3 linked regions of the Notamacropus eugenii genome follow. The protein of the gene in region 2 interacts with the protein of the main gene of each other region in a biochemical or structural test. Links are inferred from orthologs where the notes say so. Each region holds a gene or a part of one and is shown on either strand. Other genes may lie near its edges.

Region 1 (7,186 bases), on a different chromosome or scaffold from region 2:
CTCTTTCGCTGCTGGCTGGGGGGCTCCAACAAGTCAAAGATCATCTCATTATAGATCTCAAAGAAGGAGATCCAGATAGAGAACCGGACATCAGCTGGGACACAGAATGGGGCAGTATCTGGCTCAGCCCATCTACAAGATGTGTCTGTGGAAGGTACAATAAATAGTCAGCTACAAGCCTAGCTTTGATCATCATGCTTGCGTCTCAATAGCAAAGAATCACCCTGGGCTTTCACTCCTAATAACAGTAACTCTGGATTTCTACAGAAGAAAATGTACTTGTAGAGGTAAGTTTAAAAACATGCCTTTCACAAGGACTTCTTACAAGGGTTTGATTTTTTTTTTTTTCAGTAAGGGGTAAAGACAATGTGAGGTGGGAAGGAGGAAAAAATAGACTGTGTTCACTGAAATGACAAAATTTTCTTAAAGTTAAAAAAATATACCCTCCATTTGGCTGAGGCTGACACTGCTTTGGCTAGTCAAATGGCTCGTAGAAGAGAGTCCAGCAATGCCACTGTCAAAACTGGCACTGTTCCCCAGCGGTAGTGATTCAGTGTTGTGGCTTTTCTTCAGAGAGTTTATCACTTCCTCCTAGAGAAACCCCAAGAGAAAATAAATACAAAGATTTCCTCGGAGTACTCCTGCCCTTCATTGATGCGATTCTGGGTACTGACCTCACGAGAGCTGCCATTCAGCAGGGCTGTCTTCTTCATCTCTTCCTGCCTCACCTGCTTGCTATCTAGCCAAATCACTTCATTAGCAAAAGAAGGCTTCAAGTCAGAGGCTGGGTAGAGCTGGTTTCGAATACTATTGAAGATCAGAGCCAGAGAACGAGGTAGGATCCCTCCATCCTTGTTGCTACCTAGAAACATAAAAAAGGAGAGCTGAGTGCTAGCACTTGAAACGCTAAAAGATCCTTCTAGAAACTCACCAGAATTTCATGATGCTTTGACTCTCACTCACCCTGGACAGTATGGGTCTTTCCAGAGTTAGTCACTCCATATGTATAAATGAGCCAGTTGTAGCCTTTGAGCACATCTCTGACCATTTCTTTCACTGTCAGGTTGAAGAAAGATGCCTGTCCTACTTCTGGTCCAAAGATCTAGGAAGAATACAGTTCCTTGAAGTCTCCTCCTTGTTTTTAACATAGGTTCATTTCCACCAGCCTAATCCCTACCCCTGAAAGTCAGTTCCTCCCATAACTCTCTATTACTCCCCAGACCTATTTGGTATCTAAATACTAAACAATAGCTGTTTCTCTTTTACTCAGAAATCCTGAGGGTCTTCCCCTCCCAGTTTGATTTTTTTTTTTTTGGATTAAAGGGGCCATCCTTTGAGTAACTACTTAACATTGAATGGGTGTATCTCACTCAAAGTGAGGATGTGATAAGACAGGACCAGGATCTCCCATTGTATCCTGATGAATATCAGGCCACTGGACCCAGATGGCTCAGAAGAAATAAGGCTGGTGACCTGGCACAGCCCTCCCTCACTCAAATCAAAGTCAACTGCAAGTCATGTCATCATCTTTATGTCATGGTCTTCTTTGAGAACGAAGGACAAACGCAACAACAATTACTCCCCAGACCACTATGGACTCAACAACTTTATGGATCTTCCTCTTGGCAAACATATAGAAAAACATTTTCCCACTGGTTATACATCTCACTGGCAGCCTTGTTGAAAGTGCTTCCAGCTTGATACCTGGGAAAAGGTGAATCTATGAGTGGCTTGGCCCACACCTCTCTCATTGCTTCTCATAGCAAAAGAGTCCTTGGGTGCCTGCAGAACAAGCGTTTCTGGGTTTTCGATTCGAACACAGCCCTAGCAAATGAAACATACATAAACATGTTAGGAGAAGGGGGCAGTCTCATTACCCTTTTATATCATATCATAACGTGTGCTTCCCAAGGCACTCACCTGTTCTTGTCTCTCTACCTCTGAAGGCAGCAGGGGTCGGACTCTCAAGTATACTTTTACCTTCTCTGCACCATCTTCAGGTACAACCTGTGGCAGAAACCCAGCCAAGAGCCCCACTGATTAGATTAAACAACTACCTCTGAGCCTGAAATCATAGCAATCACAGGATTACTCAGCAGACACACTAGGGAAGTCGTATAGACCTCCCTCTACTGCTACACTCATGCTAAGAGACTGAAGAAAAGTCATTTGTCCTCCTCTCTCAACATCCTCCTTCCTCCTAAGACCTAACCCACAAACGTGCAACAAAAGCCAGCACGTTACCTGCACCAAGATGAGGGTGGGGAGGTATGCATACCTCTGCATGAGGGCGTGCGTGGGAATGGCTAGGAGGGGATGCATGAGTGGGCGTCATCTCGCTGGACTTTACCTGCTCTTTGTCCTCTATCGGGGGAGGGGAGATGGCAGAGAATTCCGACAGCAGGTCCTTTTGGATCCCGACTCCCAAATCAGCAGCAGTGGATTCGAACACGGGCGACACGACGATGTCCTCATCCGAAAGGAAGCCGACAGGCGGGGTCAGGATACCCCGAGACATGACCACGGTGGCGCGTTCCTCCTGGGAGAGGAAAGGGGCTTCAGGGAGAGGGTACGAGCACCTTCCACACCTGAGGTGGGAACCCGTTCTTCCCTCCATTCTCCGCTTTCCCAGACCCGGGAGAAGGCTCACTCCTGGGAAAGCCTCGGCCCCCCGAACCACCGACCCACACGTGAGCTCCGGCTCTAGCTGCGGGGAGATACGGAGACCCCCCCCCCTCATCCACCGGGCCTCGGAGAGGGGGCTCGCAGCCCAGCCCCTCGCCCCAGGCAGGTTATTAGGGAAGCCGTGGCCGAAGGGCTCCGGGGTCAAGTTCACCGGTGAGAGGCGCCCGCGAAGGACCAAGCCGCGGGGAGTGCAGGCCTTTACCCGTTAGCGCGAAGACTTTCCCAGCTCGGCCTCCAGTACCGGAACTCTCTCCGGGTTCCCCTGGCGCTCCAGGTCTCTACTCTCCCAGGGTGAAGAAGACGCCGCTGGCCGCCGCGTTCCTCCAGCCCCAGCTAGCCCTGCAGCCCCCAGCCCAGCTCCGCTCCACCCACGAGGGGCAGCTTTGTTTCGGAGGCAAGGTTTCAAACGACGCGCTCTGCTCTGTCAGCCAATCCGGCGGCGAGATCACATCCGCCAATCATGGCGCTCAGAAGGCGGGCAGGGTTACCAACCGTCGCTGCGTGGGCCTTTGGGCTCCGGGCTCCGGGCCAGGGCTTCTGCCCGCCCTTAAGAACCCCCGACAGCCTGTCCCCCCATGAAATGTGAAGGGAAACCCAAAGGTGAGGCCATCATCCCTCGCCCTACCGTTTTCTTATCCAGAAGCTTGCCCGAGAACTAGAGACTCCTCCCCAACTCTACACCACCCACCCCAAATAAACTCCATTTCCCAGAGGGCATCTGGTTGTGTGTGGTGTCAACTCAGGGCTCGCACTCCATTTCCCAGAGTCCTTCGGGGCGCAGTCCGATAAGGACCTGCCTCTTCTCGGGAAGGGGGAAGAGTCGGGGCCAAGATGGCGACAGGGACGGGCAGTGAGTGTCTGCGCTGCTCGGGGATGGGCCGCTGCGGCGGTTGTGGCAGAACCCTCCCGACCGCCCCCCTTCCCGCTTCCAGCTCGAGGGTTGGGATTCGCAGAGCGCTGGGCCTGGGGGCCCTGTGAGATCGCGCTAGGCGAGACTCGAGCTTGCCGAGGGGGCCGCCGAAGAGGGCTTGTTTATGGAGGGGCCTGGGTCGTGTGCGGAGCCCCAGGGGGAGGGGGCGGGGCAGCGAGGCTTCGAGCGCCGGAGAGACCGGTGGATGGAGGCCTCTATCTGCCCTCGCCCCTCCCTCCCTGCCTCCCCCGTCTGAGTGCCGCGTTCCCGCAGCTTGGGCGGGGCGAGGCCTCCTGCGGCCTGGTCTGCGGGGAGCGGCTCAGGTTTCTTAGTGAGGCGTGTAGCGCGGGAGCCAGGCCTGCCTTGTGCGTCTCTGCGGGGGGGGCCGAGCTTTCTATCCGGAGTGGCGTAGACAGATTTTAGAGCTGGGAGGGCCGCTTAGACGTTAGGCGGCCCACCCCTCTTTTTTTTCCCCCCGCTTTTTGAAAAACAACAACGTTCCCTGCAGTGGAAAGATTATAAGGCTCGGATTCAGGAGGCCTGGGTGCTAGCCTGGATTTGATTACTGTCATTTTTTAGACCTATAGCTTGCGATCTTTAGGCCTCAGTTTCCTAAACTGTAAACTGAGAGGTAAAAGAGGCGTTGGTGGACCAGATGCATTGTGGTACACCTGAAAGAGTCCAGACTATGGAGTTAGAAGGGCTTGGGTTCAAATCCCAGCTCTGCTGCTTACGAAGTGTGAGAGGTAGTGGGCAAATGATTTAGCCTCCTTTTTTTTCAACTGTAAAATAAGGCGATTGGGCTAGAACCAGGGGCTTTTAATTTGGAATTTATGGATAGGGCCTTAAATAGATTTCAAGAAGGTTTTGAATTTGGATTAAAAAATTGATATTTGTTTTCCTTGATATTTGATTTCCTTTTTATTTTATGCATTTAAAAAATTCTGAGAAGGGGAGCCAAAGGTTTCTCCAGACTGCCAAAGGGGTCTGAGACACAAAAAGTTAAGAACCCCTGGACTAGATGATTTCTAAGGTCTTACTCAACTGCTTCTTTACCTTATTCTTAAGGTGGATTGTTGAGATTTGAAGGCATAGAGCAGGTCCTGGTCCACAGTGGGTTGCTACCCAATTTTTGATGTAAAGAGTTGTATTGAGACCAATCTGGTTTAGTTCACTTGATTGGAATAGTGTTAGACCTTTGCCTGGGATTGGTGTCTTCTCAATGGACTCTCACTGAGTTTCCTCTTTCTACAGAACACAAGCTGCTGAGTACTGGCCCCACAGAACCCTGGTCTATTCGGGAGAAGCTGTGTCTAGCCTCCTCTGTCATGAGGAGTGGAGATCAAAACTGGTAAGATACTTGGGATATCAAATGTAGGATAGCAGGAGCTTGGGACATTGAAATTATTGGGAGGCTTTCCTGTACTCGGGGGTTAGTTGAGCCATAGGAGCCAGGAGATAGTGTAAATCCTTAACCATTATCTCAGACTATTGTGAAGTTCCAGGGGAGTAAAAGAGAAGGGTCTTGAATCTTAAGATTTAGTTTAGCCTTTTTGTGATTTTCAGAAAAGAATGAGCACCTTCTTGACTAATTGTCTGCTCTTTCTGTTAATAGTTAAAATACAATTTTTAGAATTTTTTTCTTCCTCAATCTGATTCCAATTTTGGAGTTATACCATTAGTTTAAATGAGAACTCAGTCACTCATTAAGTAGAAGATATTGTTCTCTACAGGAAACTTTGCTTGCTTTCTGGTGTTTACCTGGGCCCTTAGATGGAATCTTGTAATGAAAAACTTGAGAACTGCTTCCCCTGTATTTGTAGAAGCATGTCCAGTGGTGGTAGAGATTAATATCAGTCACTCTCTACCTTGTAAGTAGCAACAGTTCAGGAGCCATCCCTTATCTTCATAATGTAATGGAAAATCTACTGACCTTGAAGTCAAAAGATCTGGGCCTGATTTCCTGCTTAAATGAATATTGATGAACTTGGTGACCCTGGGCTTAGTTAAAAACCACAGCTGTGGTACCTCCTAATCTAGTGGTGCCCTACTTATGAACACATGAAGTGATTCCCGGGTATCTGTCTGTAAATCCATACGTATAAAAGCATTGCCTTTCGTTCCAGAAGCTCCTGTGTAATGGTTGTAAATACGGGGTATTTCAAATATATCCAGATGCTTCAGGGATTAATAAAATGCCAGTTGTAGAAATGTTTCTGATTTCTTCGTATCTTTTAGTCATTAGGTAATTTCTCAGTCATTATATGTTAATGTTAAAATTAATGTCACAAAAAAGTGGATTTATTTTACATTAAAAAGGGGTCTTCAGGTACAAAGCCTAGTAACGACTGCCCTAAATCTGCAAGATGGGATAATGGTACTTGTAAACCCCCTATATTAAAAGAGTGTTGGGAGGCAATTGCTTTGGAAACCGGAAAGCACTATGTAAATGTAAGCTGTTACACATGGGGGTGTGATGGCGCTGTTGGCTGTTGTTGATGCGCATCGTGCATCGAGTTGAGAGTGTAATGTGGTGCAGAGACGCTGTGTTTGTTTTTGGGTAGTTTTGGTCCGATCAGAGGCTGAATCCTAGTTCTGTCACCTTTGTGTAATCGGGGCAAACCCCACTCTGTGAGCTTTAGTTTTCTCATCCTTAAAAGGAGCATGATAATACTTGTATTATTTGCCTCACAGGGTTATTGTGAGGAAATTTCTTTGTAAACCCTCAAGTGATAACAGAACCAAAGACTAGAATAAACAATAAACTGTGCCAGTTTGTTAAACCCAGCATACTCATATATTTAACTTGACTGCAGTATAAAATCCAACCCAGCTTTTCACAAAATGTCTAGTGAAGTAGTTTGAACTGACACTATACTTATTTATTTTTAAGGCATTTGAGTCATAACAATAAGAATACTGACACATTCCCCAAACTGATAGAGCATTAGGTACCTATTCTTTCTCTTTCTCATCTAGAAGTTCTACTGAGGAATGTTCTTTTCATTCTAAATGACTTTTACGTTGTTTATTTACTCCCATATTCAAAGTCTGTTCCTTCGCTGTTCCTAACTGTACTCCTTTTGGTTTTAAAAGTGTGGCTCCTAACCTGTGGACCTGAAATTACCAGCATATCTTTTGTCCTCTCATGATGGAGTTTTATAGTATGTTGTGGTCCAAGACTGATGCTTTGAAGGTCCTTATTTTTTTCTTTTTTTGTAGGGTGTCAGTTAGCAGAGCAATCAAGCCCTTTGCTGAACCTGGCCGACCTCCTGACTGGTTCTCTCAGAAAGTAAGCTCCAGGGATAGTGTCCTTCTATAGCAGTCTTTCCGTACCCAGTCCTATTAATTTAACCGGAAGACCTTTGCCTTATTGAGAGAATTTAAAGTTATGCACTTTTACTGTAGATCAGTGAAAATTGCCTTTTATTTCCTTGTTACCCCTCCTTCAAATTTACCTGTTTGTATTGAGGGTACTACTATTTTTCCATTTACCCAGTTTTACAGTCTTGGGTCCTTTTTTTTTTTAATTAACTTTTTTTTTTCAATTAACCAAAATCTAACATCTCTCTTTCCCACCACCAACCATTT
Region 2 (7,113 bases):
ACTGAGCTATTATATGATATGAAACATAGCACACTCTAGTATAATGTATCAACAGGATAACTAGAAACTGAATTTTGGAATTCTAAGACTTAAAAGTAATTCGTCATCACAAAAATAGTACCATGGATTCAGAAAGCTTTTGCTAACAGAGGAGAAGAAAGCAAATGTGCCTTGAGAACCCAAATTGTTCCTGTTAAATTGAAAACAGCTATAGTTTCACCTCAAAATAACACATAACTTAAAATTTTTTTAAGATAAAAAACATGAGCCTACAAAGAAAAATATGATCAATTTAGACTAAGTTGAAGAATTTAAGGCCCTAAAATATGCAGCGTGAATCAAAATAGCATCATCCCCAAAATTCAAATGAAACCTGCTCATATTTTAATAGTAAAAAAGACAGGTACACTTGAGGCTAAAATTTTCCTTGGAGAGACATAAATTAATGGCTTTTTCAAGCAAACTAAATAGCTTTGCATCACACCAAGAGGCAAGCAATGGCATCCTCAGAGTGCACAAGAGGCACTTTACAGTCTACACATCAATATTTACTTGAGTAGGTTATTTTATACTCATACTAAGCCTAAAAATGCTATAAAATGGCAGGATCAGGAACTTCATACATACTAATACCAGGTAACTCACTGGAAAACAAGTCTAAACTTGCTTCCTGTAAATTTATAAGCCAAACATTTTCTCTGTTCACTACATAAGAACAATTTGCACATAAAGGAAGAAAAAACAGTCTGGACTGGTTTCATAGAATGAGGTACAAAAATTTGACAGATACTATTCAACTGATGCTAATCCATTTGGGGGCTACAGAAGTTTTTGTAGGCGAAAATTATATTTCTGAATTTAGTATTAACATGTTTTTTCTATGGCAAACACTAATTTTCCCAACAACTTGACTCTTAAAGATAAAAATGGGAGAAACTGGTTAATGAAGAAATAGGTGATATATAATCCTTCTTATCTCCCAATAAATAACTAGGTATCAATGCTATAAAACTGACATACAACAAATTGCTACAAATAGTAACCTTAAAGACAACCATTACAAAATTAAAACTTTGTAGCCTAATTCAGAGAACTAACCTAGGCAAATACCAAAAGGGAATCTTATTTGTGGAATTATTAATACTTAAGACTTAAGCCACTTAAAATTTCAGCTAAGTATCACTTCTTAAAATTTAAATAACGAGATCATTGACACTCTTCTTCATCCCTTCCTATCCCCTCAAAAAAGACGTTAGTTAGCTGTTAATTTTTTCCCCAACAGAACTTGTACCAAACCATCTCTCCCAAGAATCCTCAACATATTTATAACTGGAAAACACTCTAATAGAAATAACTGATGATTATCCATGGGTTCCTGTGGGTAGGAGAATCAGACACTAGTTGATGTCGGGAGGAGAGAAAGCGAAAAAGAAAGGTGAGAAATTCCAAGTAAATGGATCATGACAAGGCACCAGGCGGCGATGGGAGAAGGGGGGGGGAAGCAATCAAAACTACCCAAAAATCCTAAGTGAGGAAATGGAAAGTCAAGAGAAGAATTCTGAGATGTTTAGCACGTCGCTGCCTAACCCTTCCACGTCCAAGGGCAGTGCCGCCTACAAAAACCCCGACATCACGGCCGATTCCAGGAGATTTTTGCTCCAACCCCCCGGGGAGAGAGCGATCCAAAGACGTTCCAGCCCCCGCCCCATCCTCAGGCACGGACGACTCGATCCTCAGTTCCAAAGGCCAAAGGAGGGCGAGGGAGGAAGGGGCAACGCCCAGATCCCACCCGATCCCGACCAGCCTCCACCTTCCGCGGGTCGCATAAAGGCGCCGGGCTCCCAGGCCCAAGGGGAGGGCCCAGGGAAATAGAGACAGAGAAGAGACCTAGACTCTGGAACTCCGATAAGGGCCGAGAAAGGAGAGACGGGGAAGGACGGGGCAGGGGTCCGAGGAGGACTGAGTGCGGCACTCGGAGGAAGCGGGGGCGCCCGGGCCTGGCAGCCACCCGCACACAGTAGGGCCTCGGAGTCTGCGCCCGAAGGGGAAGGAGTCGGGGAGCGGAGGGCCGAGGCGGAGCTCAGGCCCGGGAGAAGCCGGGAAGGGAGGAGGGAGAGGCGGGGGGCGGGCAGCAGACGCACGGCCGGAGGCCGCGGGGGCAGCAGCAGCGCAGCCGGAGCGGGGGGCACTCACCGCTCTGCTCCCCCAGGAACACCAGCTTGAATTTCCTCAGGGGGTTCCCGAAGTCCCCTCCGGCAGACATGATGGAGCCGGGGCCGCCGCCTCACCCAGCGATCTCCTTAGGCCCCGCGGGCTCCCCGCAGCCCAGACACGTAGGGCGGAGGAGCGGCAGGAAGCGGGGGGGATCCTGCAAAGATGCGGGTGGAGACGGACGGACCGACCAGGAGATGGGGGTGGGGTCGGAGTCGGCCTCGTACGGCTCGACAGGAGCGGCGGTCGGCGCCGCCCTTCCGCACCACAAGCTACCCGAGGGAGAGGAGCAGAGGGACGGACAGCGCCGCAGCCACTCCTCGCCCCCTTTTCCCAGAGAGCCTGGAGATCCGCCGCCGCAGCCGAACCTGCTCAAGTGCGCGAGCCTCTCCGCTGAGGCGCGCGAGCGCGACAGCGTGACGTGCCGCGTGCGTGCGCGAGCACGGGCGGGGCTGGTGGTCGGGAGCGCGCTTGCTCCCCAGTTTCCCAGGTTCGGCGTTGGCTCCCGGGCCAGCCACCTACGCCGACCCTAAGTGGAAAAGTGGGGAGAATGGGACTGGCGAGGAGAAAGGGAGGAGGAGTGGACGGGCGTGGGGAGGGGGCGGGGCGGAGGGCGGAGGGCGGAGGGAAAGGAGGAGCAAGGGAGGAAGAAGCTGACGCCACACCCAGCGGGCCAATAGAAGGTGACCGAGGTGAATTTGCCCAATGACAGCGCGAAAGGAGAGGGCAGAGGACACACGCAGAGCCAGCGGCTCAGCGCCGGCGGGGGCAGAGGCGGCGGCGCGCGCCAGGGCGGCCATGAAGAGTGTGGCGGGAGGGCGGGGCCTGGCCGAGACCGGCGGGAGGTCCGAACGGTTCCAACGGCGGCGGGGGCGTGCCACCTGTGGACACCCCACCTCCAGCCCCGCTGTCTGGGAGTCGGGCCTCGGATTCCTCGCTCGCCTCCTCCGCCCCCCCCCACCGACCCGCCCATCGTCTGCGCCCAGCCCCCGGAAATAATCCTAATAATGCTGCCATTCAGAAGTTTGCCAACCGCCTTAACACGTGCGTTATCTCAGGTGGACTCCAGCCCCGCCGAGAAGCAGGGCTGCAGCGTCCCTTCCCCCGCCGGTTACCGCCAGAGGCCTAGCCAGGGCCTGGCGCCCGGGGCCACGTGCGCCAGGATCTCCCACTCCCCCCTCCCTCCGCTGCATCGCATGTCTACGCTCTGGCCTCGCAAACGTTAGCGTGACGTCAGTATTCGCCGGTATCACTCTACGTATCCCATTCCCCACACCCTTTCCTTTAGAGTAAATCCCTCGCTCCACCGGGTCTCCCTTTCTACTTGGGCTAGCCAGCCCATTCTGGACCGAGATAGCTACTCCATCCTGTCCTCTGGCTGCCCTTCCCCACAGCGCCCCTAAAATCAGTCCCTCTCCCCATGGGACTCCCCCACCCCATCTTCTCACAAGCCTCTCCTGCCTCTCCGTCTCCTAAACGCTGTAGACCCCCAGTGACTATTTCAGTCTCCAGCCACCTCTTCTGGACTCTTGGTACCCCTCCACTGGTCTCCCTACCACCGGTCCCCTCCTCCAGGTTCCCGACAACTGTCCAAATAATCCGTTTGTACGTAATTGTTTGCACGCTGTCTCTGCCTTTACAGACGGAGTTCCCGGAAAGAGGAGACTGCCTTTTAATGCATCCTCAGTGATGGGGTGATGGGACTTGGACCCCTAAAAGGAACAGACCATGCCCTTGGAAGCAACCCAGTCCCTGAATTTTCCGATACGTTTCAGTAGCCCAGATCACTGGTGCCTACACCAAAGCATCTGGCTCACCCAAGCTCAGCGAGATCACTCAGACTACTCCCTAACACCATCCTTGTCCTTTCACCGTCCTTTTTATCCTAACCATCATTCCCCGCCCACCCCCCATTAAGTTGCAGATTCACTAAGAATCTCACCACCACTTTTGGTGTTACAATAAACCTTGCCATTTTGACTAAAAGATGGTGTGAGTGTGTGATTCTTTCCAGGCAGACACCTCTCTGCACCCTGACATTTCAGGGTTCCCAGCAACCCTAAACCGCATCCCCCAGCACCTAGAGCTGTGCCAACAATATAGTTGTCATTGTTTAGTCCTTTCCAATTCATCGTGACCCCATTTGGGGTTTTCTGGGCAAAGATTATAGAGCAGTTTGCCATTTCCTTCTTCAGCTCATTTTATAGATGAGGAAACTGAGGCCAACAGGCTTAAGTGATTTGCGCAGGATGGCACTGCTAGTAAAGATCTGAGGCCTCAAAGATGAGTCTTCCTGACTCCAGGGCCAATGCTCTATCTGTTTCCCCATATAGCTGCCCCACCAAACATCATCACTTTATTTCTCTGTAATATGAGAGGGTCTAGTTCTGACATTCTTTGTTCTAAAGCTGAGGTGTCGAAACACATAGGTCCTAGGCCACAAGCAGCCTATCACAGTTCCATTAAAATGTAATTGGGAAATACTTAGCAAAATACATAAAAATACAACAAAACAGATGCCATTACATTTTAAAACTTAAGTCAATATAGGACACGTAGAAATCCTCATATATGTATGTGTGCCCCCTGTTTCTATTTAAATTGGATATTACTGAAATAAAGGACTTCCCAGCTCTGACATTCTGTGTTCTAAGGTCTCTCCCAGCTCTGACATTCTATGTTCTAAGCCACCTTTCACTTCTGACATTCTCTGTTTTGAAGTCCCTAACAGCTCTCATACTCAGTGTTCTAAGGTCCCTCCCAACTATGGCTAAGGGTCCTTCCAGGTCTGGCATTCTGTGTTATAAGTGTAACAACAGGGCCAAGCCAAGATGGTTGAGTAACGGCACACACTTTCTAGAGTGCTGCTCCCAAGCCCAGCTAAATACCAGTAAACTGACTCTAAACCAATTCTGGAGCTTCGGAGCCCACAGAATGATGGAATGAAGCAAATCTCCAGCCCAAGACAGCCTGGAAGGTGGCTGAGAAGTGTCTATTGCACCACTCTGGGGGCAGGACGCAGTGCAGTGTGGGCCACGCTGGCACAGACAGGACCTGAGCAGGCCTTGGGGAGACTGAGTCTCTCATATCTGTGACAGTTTCCAGACTTCAAGACCCCAAAATGCCAAGGACAAATTGGAAGTTCAGTGGAAAAAGAGAAAGCCTGTAGGACCAGTGTGGGAGAGTGGAATGATCTGGCCCCAGCCCCAGGGCAGCAGAGAGGGAAGGGGGTGGAGGAACTCCCAGCAGTAGGGGCAGAGACAGCAACTGTTTCTGGAGCTCTAGGCCCACTGACTGTGGGGGAATCGAGCTACTGACAGTACACCCCCCACCCCCACTGGAAGCAGAGATCAACCTTGACAAAAAGCTCAAAAGTCAAATAAATGGCTGGGGAAATGGGCAAAAACTGAAAAAAGAATCAGACTATAGAATCTTACTTTGGTGATAAGGAAGACCAAAACATGCAAACAAAAGACAGTAAAGTCAAAACCCCTCCATCCAAAGCCTCCAAGAAAAATATGAATTGGTCTCAGGCCATGGAAGAGCTCAAAAAGAATTTTGAAAATCAAGTAAGAGAAGTAGAACAAAAATTGGGAAGAGAAATGAGAGTGATGCAAGAAAATTATGAAAAACGAGTCAACCACTTGCTTAAGGAGACCCAAAAAAATGCTGATGAAAATAACACTGTAAAAAATAGACCAACCCAAATGAAAAAAGAGATCCAAAAAGCCAATGAAGAGAAGAATGCCCTATAAAGCAGAATTGTCTAGATGGAAAATGAGGTCCAAAAGCTCACTGAAGAAAATAATTCCTTAAAGATTAGAATGGAGCATATGGAAGCTAATGACTATGAAAAAACAAGAAATTATAAAACAAAACCAGAGGAATGAAAAAATAGCAGACAATGTGAAATATCTCATTGGAAAAACAACTGACCTGGAAAATAGATCCAGGACAGACAATTTAAAAATTATGGGACTACCTGAAAGCCATGATCAGAAAAAAAGCCTAGACATCATCTTTCAAGAAATTATCAAGGAAAACTGCCCTGATATTCTAGAACCAGAGGGTAAAATAAACATTGAAAGAATGCACTGATCGTCTCCTGAAAAAGATCCCAAAAGGAAAACTCTTAGGAATACTGTAGACAAATTCCAGAGCTCCCAGGTCAAAGAGAAAATATTGCAAGCAGCTAGAAAGAAACAATTCAAGTGTTGTGGAAATACAATCAGGATAACAAAAGATCTAGCAGCTTCTACATTAAGGGATCAAAGGACTTGGAATATGATATTCCAGAAGTTAAAGGAACTAGGACTAAAACCAAGAATCACCTACCCAGCAAAACTGAGTATAATACTTCAGGGGAAAAAATGGTTTTTCAATAAAATCAAGGACTTTCAAGCATTCTTGATGAAAATACCAGAGCTGAATAGAAAATTTGATTTTCAAACACAAGAATCAAGAGAAGCATGAAAAGGTAAACAGGAAAGGCAAATCATAAGGGACTTACTATAGTTGAACTGGAGAGATAATATTTGTAAGTCTTGAAACTTTTCTCAGTACTAGGGTAATTGGAGGAATTATATACATATAGACAGAGGGTACAGGTTAAGTTGAATAGGAAGGGATGATATCTAAAAAAATAAAATTAAGGTATGAGAGGAATATATTGGGAGGAGAAAGGGAAAAATAGAATGAGGCAAATTATCTCTCACATAAAAGAAGCAAGAAAAAGCTTTTTCAATGGAAGGGAAGAGAAGGGAGGTGAGAGGGGAAAAAGTGAACCTTATTCTCATCACATTTGACTTAAGGAGGGAGTAACATGCATACTCAATTTGCTATGAAAATCTATCTTATATTACAGGAAAGAAGGGGATAAGCAGGGGTGTAGGAGGGTGGGGG
Region 3 (7,472 bases), on a different chromosome or scaffold from region 2:
GGAAATGAGCAAAAACCGGAAAAAGAACCAGACTATAGAATCTTGCTTTGGTGACAAGGAAGACCAAAGAATGCAAACAGAAGAAAACAAAGTCAAAGCTCCTTCATCCAAAGCCTCCAAGAAAAGTACAAATTGATCTCAGGCCATGGAAGAGCTCAAAAATGATTTTGAAAATCAAGTAAGAGAAGTACAGCAAAAATTGGGAAGAGAAATGAGAGTGATGCAAGAAAATCATGAAAAACCAGTCAACTACTTGCTAAAGGAGACCCCAGAAATGCTGAAGAAAATAACACTTTAAAAAACAGACTAACCCAAATGACACAATAGATTCAAAAAGCCAATGAGGAGAAGAATGCCCTAAAAAGCAGAATTGGCCAGATGGAAAAGGAGGTCCAAAAGCTCACTGAAGAAAATAATTCCTTAAAGACTAGAATGGAGCAGATGGAAGCTAATGATTTTATGAAAAATCAAGATATTACAAAACAAAACCAAAGGAATGAAAAAATAGCAGACAATGTGAAATATCTCATTGTAAAAACAACTGACATGGAAAATAGATCCAGGAAAGATAATTTAAAAATTATGGGACTACCTGAAAGCCATGATCAAAAAAAGAGCCTAGACATCATCTTTCATGAAATTTAACTGTTCTGATAAACTGCCCTGATATTCTAGAACCAGAGGGTAAAATAAATATTGAAAGAATCCACCAATCCCCTCCTGAAAAAGATCACAAAAGGAAAACTCCTAGGAATATTGTAACCAAATTTCAGAGCTTCCAGGTCAAGGAGAAAATATTGCAAGCAGCCAGAAAGAAACAATTCAAGTATTGTGGAAATACAATCAGGATAACACAAGATCTAGCAGCTTCTACATTACGGGATAGAAGAGCTTGGAATATGATATTCCAGAAGTCAAGGGAACTAGGATTAAAACCAAGAATCATTTATCCAGCAAAACTGAGTATAATACTTCAGAGGAATAAATAGTCATTCAATGAAATAGAAAACTTTCAGACATTCTTGATGAAAGGACCAGAGTTGAATACAAAATCTGACTTTCAAACACAAGAATCAAGAGAAGCATGAAAAGGTAAACAGCAAAGAGAAATCATAAGGGACTCACTAAAGTGGAACTGTTTATGTTCCTATATGGAAAGATAATATTTGTAACTTTTGAGACTTTTCTCAGTATTTGGGTAGTTGGAGCGATTATATACATATAGACAGAGGGTACAGGATGAGTTGAATAGGAAGGGATGATATCTAAAAAATAAAATTAATTGGTGAAAGAGGAATATATTGGGAGGAGAGAGGGAGAAATGGAATGGGGCAAATTATCTCTCATAAAAGAGGAAAGGAAAAGCTTTTTCAATGGAGGGGAAAAGAGGGGAGATGAGAGGGAAAAAGTGAAGTTTATTCTCATCACATTTGGCTTAAGGAGGGAATAACATGCACACTCAATTTGGTATGAAAATCTATCTTATACTACAGGAAAGTAGGGGAGAAGGGGATAAGTGGGGTGTGGAGAAAGTAGGGCAAATGGGGGGAGGGGTAGAAGTAAACACTCTGGGGGAGGGACAAGGTCAAAAGAGAGAATAGAATAAATGGGGGGCAGGATAAGATGGAAGGAAATACAGTTAATTTTTTGCAACATGACTTTTACGGAAGTCTTTTGCGTAACTGCACATGTACAATCTATTTTGAATTGCTTGCCCTCTCAGTGGGGATGGGTGGGGAGGGAGGAAGGGAGAGAAGTTGAAACTCAAAGTTTTGAAAACGAATGTTAAAACTTGTTTTGTACATGCAACTGAGAAATAAGAAATACAGGTAATGGGGTATAGAAATCTATCTTGCCCTACAAGAAAATAGAGAAGATGAAGATAAGGGAAGGGAGGGATGTGACAGAACAGAAGGCAGATTGGGGAAAGGGGTAATCAGAATGCGTGGTGTCTTGGGGTGGGGAGAGGGGAGAGATGGGGAGAAAGTTTGGAACTCAAAATCTTGTGGAAATGGATGTTGAAAACTAAAAAGAAAGAAAGAAAGAAAAGGTCAGTCAGCCTCTGAAGGGCATGGTTGAGTGATGAAATTTGATCCTGGCTTTCAAGGCACAAACTTATTAGTTGGTCAGAAAACTGTTTCTTCAGGTTTTCATTCATCATGTATGTACGTACGCATGCATGCATGCATGCATGTATAGGTATCCACATCTGTATATGTATACACACAAATATATGTGTGTATACATATGTGTATACACACATGTATATACACACATGTATACATGTACACACATACATATATACACACATATATATGTATGTATATACACACATGTATACATGTACACACATACATATATACACACATATATATCTCTATATATACACAGTTAATGTCAAGCAGACCAGAACTAGCCTCTTACTTGGGAATGGCTATAGCCAAACAGAGCAGTCCAGAAGCAGGTGTGTGAAGGATTTAACAGAAGTTTAATTAATTTCAGAGTAAGGAAAACACTTGCAAGTGTAAGTCCCCCTTCCTTACCTGGGAAATAGGGCTAAACATTTTCAAGCAAAGGCAGAAAAACCACATTTTCAGGCAATGGCAGAAAAACCACAACACAATCATTCTTAGGTCTGGAGTAGCAGTTCCCACAGCAGGCTTATGTGTGGACAATGCAGGTATACCTGGGTCCTATGGGAACAGTTGTTAAGTTGATTGATCTTAAGGGTTGTTGAGCTTTGTGATTATTCAGTGGTGTACAGAACCAGAGTTAGTGTTACAAAAAACAGGGATTCTGAACATGTCACGCGATATTATGGATGGCCTCAGGCTGCAGCATGTTGGCTGTCATGTGACTGGGAAAAAGGGGGAGCTCCAACAAACAGTTATAGATTAGTATGAAAATCATAAATCCCTCAGTGAACCCTTGGTGCTGGTCAAAGCAATACACTTTGCCACAGGGCAAGATCATCCAGAGTGCAAAGGATTGTTGTTATGTCAAGCTCCAAATACTTTGACAATACAATAAAATTTACTGAGAAGGGTACTCAATAAAAAAAAAAAAACAACTTTGGAAGCCCCTGAGAGAGTGGAGGAGAAAAGCAGAAAGGAGATATGAGTGGTAGTATTGAAGGAAAAATTCTTTGTTTGGGCTTTCACCCTGATTAACGAGGGAAAATTAAGATTAAAGATAATTAAATGGAGTTTATTATAAATAAGTCAAGGTAACAACATATTATTTGTTCTTGGGCTGATTGCTGAAGACCATTGATGACTTCAAGGTGGTGTTAGTTTTGATTGATAACTTTCCTAAGGAAATACAGACAATTCAGATAGGTTAATGTCAGCAAAATAGGTTGGATCCTTGAATCTCAGTTCCTTCCTAACACAGCAAGTATAGACAATTTGCAGGTAGGGTACAAACATCACAAGAAGGGTATGTGACAAAGAGCAGGTAATGCAAAAAGCTACAGAATTGGTGTCCCCTTCCCAGTGGAGCCTCCCCCAACACTGATTGACAACCAGGGGTGGCAACAACGAATCATTGAATCAATATAACTTTCAAATGTGTGTGTGTGTGTGTGTGTGTGTGTGTGTGTGTGTGTATAATATCCACCCCAGTACATATCAAAACAAGTTTTAATATTTGGGTTTTTTTTCACGTTTTGAGTTCCAAATTCTTTCACCCTCCTCTGCCCCCCCAACTAGCTACCCTTACCCCTCCCTGAGACTGTAAGCAATCAGATATATTTTATACACGTACAATCAATCAACATAACTTTCAACAGAAGAATGGAAGAGAGAGAAGGTACAAAAAGGACTTTCCGCCAACATGGCATAATGCAAAGTGTATTGGACCCTGCAGTAGCAGAGCCCTGACTTCTAAAACCCAGATGTGACCTTTATATGAGCATGAATAAGAGCATACTTTTTTTTTAATTTGTGAAAGAGGGGATACTCCATAATAAGTACCTTAGTAGGTGGTTGTAAGGAGCAAATGAAATCACGTGTGGAAAAGTGCCTGGCAAGACTTACAGCTCTCCTAAGTGTCAGCTAATACTACGTAAGGGTGGAAGGAGAGGAGTGGAGGAGAGCTCTAAGTGTGAAAGCAGATTGAAAATCAGAATAGCGGTATTGCCCGGTGGCGGTCCCGCGTGGTAAGTCTATTTTAATCAGAGAGACGGGCAGGGGCATTTCTGCACTCGCCCAGGGTGGCTGGAGGGTTTCGCAGTCCTAGGGTTTGTTGGTCACAGAAGACCAGGAATGAATGCCAGGCAGGAGCGCCTGGCTGCGGCCAAGCTTTTTCTTACCCGGTCACTGAGTGAGGCAGCAGCAGACCCTCCGGGGCTGGCGAACACACCCCTCCCACCTCCTGCGTAGGGCCGGGCTGTCTCCCTTTCCCTCCTCTTCCTTCTCGCCCCCTTTCTTTGCCTTCTCCTCTTCCTCCCCCTTCTAGTCTCGCCCCTGGCTGTCTCCATCCCCGCCTCGGCCGGGCCCCGCCGCCGCCCCTGGCTCCTTGTCTCCTCCCACCAGGCTCTGCCAGTGGCCCCGGAGCGGCCGCCTGGGGGCTCTTCTGGGAGCCTGGAGTCTCCGGTTAGCCGCTGCCTTCCCTCCCTCCCTTCCTCCCTCCCTCCCTGCCTTCCTCCCATTCGTTTCCTTCCGGAAGGGAGGGGGCCCGGACTGCATCATTCTGCTCCGCTGCTGCAGGGCCAGAGGAGCAGGTGGAGAGGGAAGGGGAGGCTGGCGGCGGAGTGCCGAGACCGCAGTGGCGCTGCCCGGAGGGATGGCGGCCCCGAGCCTCTGAATAAGCAGAATCCACCGGCCGCAGCGCGGCACCATGCCGCGGACCGGCCCCGGCCCCCAATGAATGGTGCGGCCGCCGCAGCCTCTTCGCGAATCTTCTGCCCTTCCTTTTCCACGTTACATTTCCTTCCCAATATCCAGCCGCTGTGGTCGCTGCCGGCAGGAAAGCTCTAGGGACACGTCCATCCCTTTCGCCGCCGCCCCCCGTTATTTTCCTGCCTCCCTCTAATTCCTCCCCAGCCCCACCCCACCCCCTGCATCTTTTCTTCCCCCCTCCCGTTTCCATCCATCACTGGAGCGATGGCTGCAGAGGAGGTATTGCAGAGCGTGGATCACTATAAGACTGAGATCGAAAGGCTGACTAAGGAGCTCACGGAGACGACCCACGAGAAGATCCAGGCTGCCGAGTACGGCCTGGTGGTCCTGGAAGAGAAGCTCACCTTGAAGCAGCAGTATGATGAGTTGGAGGCGGAGTACGACGGCCTTAAGCAAGAGCTAGAGCAGCTCAAAGAGGTGAGTTCCCAATGGCCTTTCTCCTCGCCCACCATCCCCAGACCGATCCTTAAAAAACAAAGACGGGGGTACACGGAATGCATCGCTGGAAAGAACCTTGGCCTTGAGGTCAGAGGACCTGACTTCAAGTTCTACCTCTGACTTATCTGCTTGTCTACCTGTATGACCTTGGGCAAGGCACTTAACTTGCTGGGCCTCAGTTGCCTCATCTGCAAGATGAGTGAATTGGACTAGATGACCACTCAAAGGTTTCTGTGGCCCTTGATCTATGATCGTATGAGCTGACTCTTTATCTGAATGTGAGCTCAGTTAGCCAGGTGCTTTTGATAGAGTTCATTGTTTCCATGTAAGAAAAATGCCTAAGGAAATCAGTATATATCTGTATATTGGAAACATGGAGATAGGATTTGTGGGGGGAGGAGAAATTCATATTTATATTCAAGTGGAGGTATATGAAAGGATTAAGGATGATTTGGGGGTGATTAAATAAAAATTTAAAAAGCCAATGTTGTTTCTAGCCTGGATTGCAGCAAGAATCCTCTAGGTAATTAATAGATTTGAGCCTGGGGAAGTCACAACTTTAATTATTAAATTAAAAATACCTTAGTCATATATCTGAATATCCTGTTCTTTAGTCATAAGGAGAAAACATAGTATTAGTACATCACTGAAGGCTTGGCCTCTCTTTGCTTCTGTCATTCTTGTTATACTGTACAAAAGGTAAACAACTCTTACTGGTGATGATGTAGATGCCTTGTTTTCACCATTGAGTGAGGTAGCACTCTTCAGTGTGGGCAAAGCTTCAAAGTAGAGATGAGGTCATCCTGCCCAGTAAAAATTAAACTTCAGAACAAATGACCTGAAGAAAACATAAATCTTGAACTGGGATGTAACTGTGAAGTGTAGCTTTACATTTTAAATGAGGTTATCAATTAGAAATAAGGAATTGATAGAGAGAGAGATTGGACCTGTGCTTTCATGGATACAGGGAATTCCCAGATGAAGAAACTCCCTCTATCAATGGAGGAAGGCTTCTCTGTAACTTATCTTCTTAGAGTGTTACCTACAATACCGAAAGGTTAAGAGACTTTCCAGGGTAATTTAACTTGCCCACTTGCTATACCACCATTACTCTATAGGGTAGTAAGTAGTATTTGATGCCCTCACTCCTTCCTCCACCCCTTCCTTTATAGCTCTATCTGCATAACCTCTCCTAAGGTATCAATAAAACCATAATATTACAGATGGAGTATGTATAACTCTCGTTCTACCTAATATTTGGATGATTTGAAGTTTTATTTTCAGCCTAGACTTAGTTTCTTTGCATATGGGCAACAGTTCTACAACTTAAAGGACTAGAGAATTGCGTGGGATTTCAGGTTTCAGTGACTTGTCCAACTTTAAGTAGTTAGTATGTGTCTGAAGAGGAGCTTGAACTCAGGTCCAGCTCAAGCCATTTCTTTACCTATGTCTTTTTTTGTGTATTATTCAATAAAATGTAGCATGTTGGAAAAATACAATGCAATATCAGTCAATTTTTGATCAAGCCTTTTAAGCAATTTTATGGTAAAATTTTTGTAGTTTAGGTAAACTAATGCAAAAACTCCATGCAAAAAAAATTCATGGGACTCCGGAAACTTTCTTGCAACACACTTATTTTTACACAGACATTTCCTATTTGACAGATATTCTTACCTGTATTATGTGTGTGTATGCATATGTATACATATATATGCATGTTATTTATTATGTGCCAGCCACTATACAAATATTATTTTATCCACAGCCCTGGTAGGTAGTTTCTATTGCTATCATTCCCATTTTACAGTTGAGAAAAATGAGGCAAATGGAGGTTGAGGGTCTGAGGCTAGATTTGAACACAAGTCTTACACCTGACCTAGCACAGTATCCATTGTACTATCTAGTTGTTATTTGGTAAATGTTTGTTGAATTGAATTGTATTAGGAAATAAATTTTTAAAAGTATGAAGGCAAAAATTTGAAAAACTAAGCAAATCATTTTCACCATAGACAGAAATGAGAAAAAAAGGATCAGTTTAAGGGTTTAAAGATGAGTTAAACATTATGATTTAAAAAAAAATAATGAATGACTTGTGGAAACATACTAGTCCTCTTTCCCATATTTACTCTTTTA

Evidence for each region.
Region 1: the proteins of RAB6A (region 2) and KIF20A form a complex in vitro, tested with the Homo sapiens proteins (2 studies listed by BioGRID). The link is inferred for Notamacropus eugenii from reciprocal best matches to the Homo sapiens genes RAB6A and KIF20A.
Region 3: the proteins of RAB6A (region 2) and BICD1 form a complex in vitro, tested with the Homo sapiens proteins (3 studies listed by BioGRID). The link is inferred for Notamacropus eugenii from reciprocal best matches to the Homo sapiens genes RAB6A and BICD1.

What each region holds. Positions count from the first base shown.
Region 1 is NC_092872.1:365,308,801-365,315,986, reverse strand, and holds the start of KIF20A (kinesin-like protein KIF20A), read right to left. Parts: upstream 3,009-7,186; 5' UTR 2,888-3,008; intron 2,540-2,887; 5' UTR 2,519-2,539; coding exon 2,351-2,518; intron 2,008-2,350; coding exon 1,921-2,007; intron 1,825-1,920; coding exon 1,705-1,824; intron 1,103-1,704; coding exon 964-1,102; intron 863-963; coding exon 675-862; intron 592-674; coding exon 444-591; intron 146-443; coding exon 1-145. Other genes in the region: BRD8 (bromodomain-containing protein 8), read left to right, coding at 4,251-4,341, 4,850-4,946, 6,818-6,887. UniProt on the Homo sapiens protein: Mitotic kinesin required for chromosome passenger complex (CPC)-mediated cytokinesis. Following phosphorylation by PLK1, involved in recruitment of PLK1 to the central spindle. Interacts with guanosine triphosphate (GTP)-bound forms of RAB6A and RAB6B.
Region 2 is NC_092876.1:131,569,986-131,577,098, reverse strand, and holds the start of RAB6A (ras-related protein Rab-6A), read right to left. Parts: upstream 2,895-7,113; 5' UTR 2,709-2,894; coding exon of another isoform or gene 2,264-2,708; coding exon 2,194-2,263; intron 1-2,193. Other genes in the region: uncharacterized protein, read left to right, coding at 2,262-2,708, 2,895-3,437. UniProt on the Homo sapiens protein: The small GTPases Rab are key regulators of intracellular membrane trafficking, from the formation of transport vesicles to their fusion with membranes.
Region 3 is NC_092874.1:215,033,338-215,040,809, reverse strand, and holds the start of BICD1 (protein bicaudal D homolog 1), read left to right. Parts: upstream 1-4,464; 5' UTR 4,465-5,105; coding exon 5,106-5,318; intron 5,319-7,472. UniProt on the Homo sapiens protein: Regulates coat complex coatomer protein I (COPI)-independent Golgi-endoplasmic reticulum transport by recruiting the dynein-dynactin motor complex.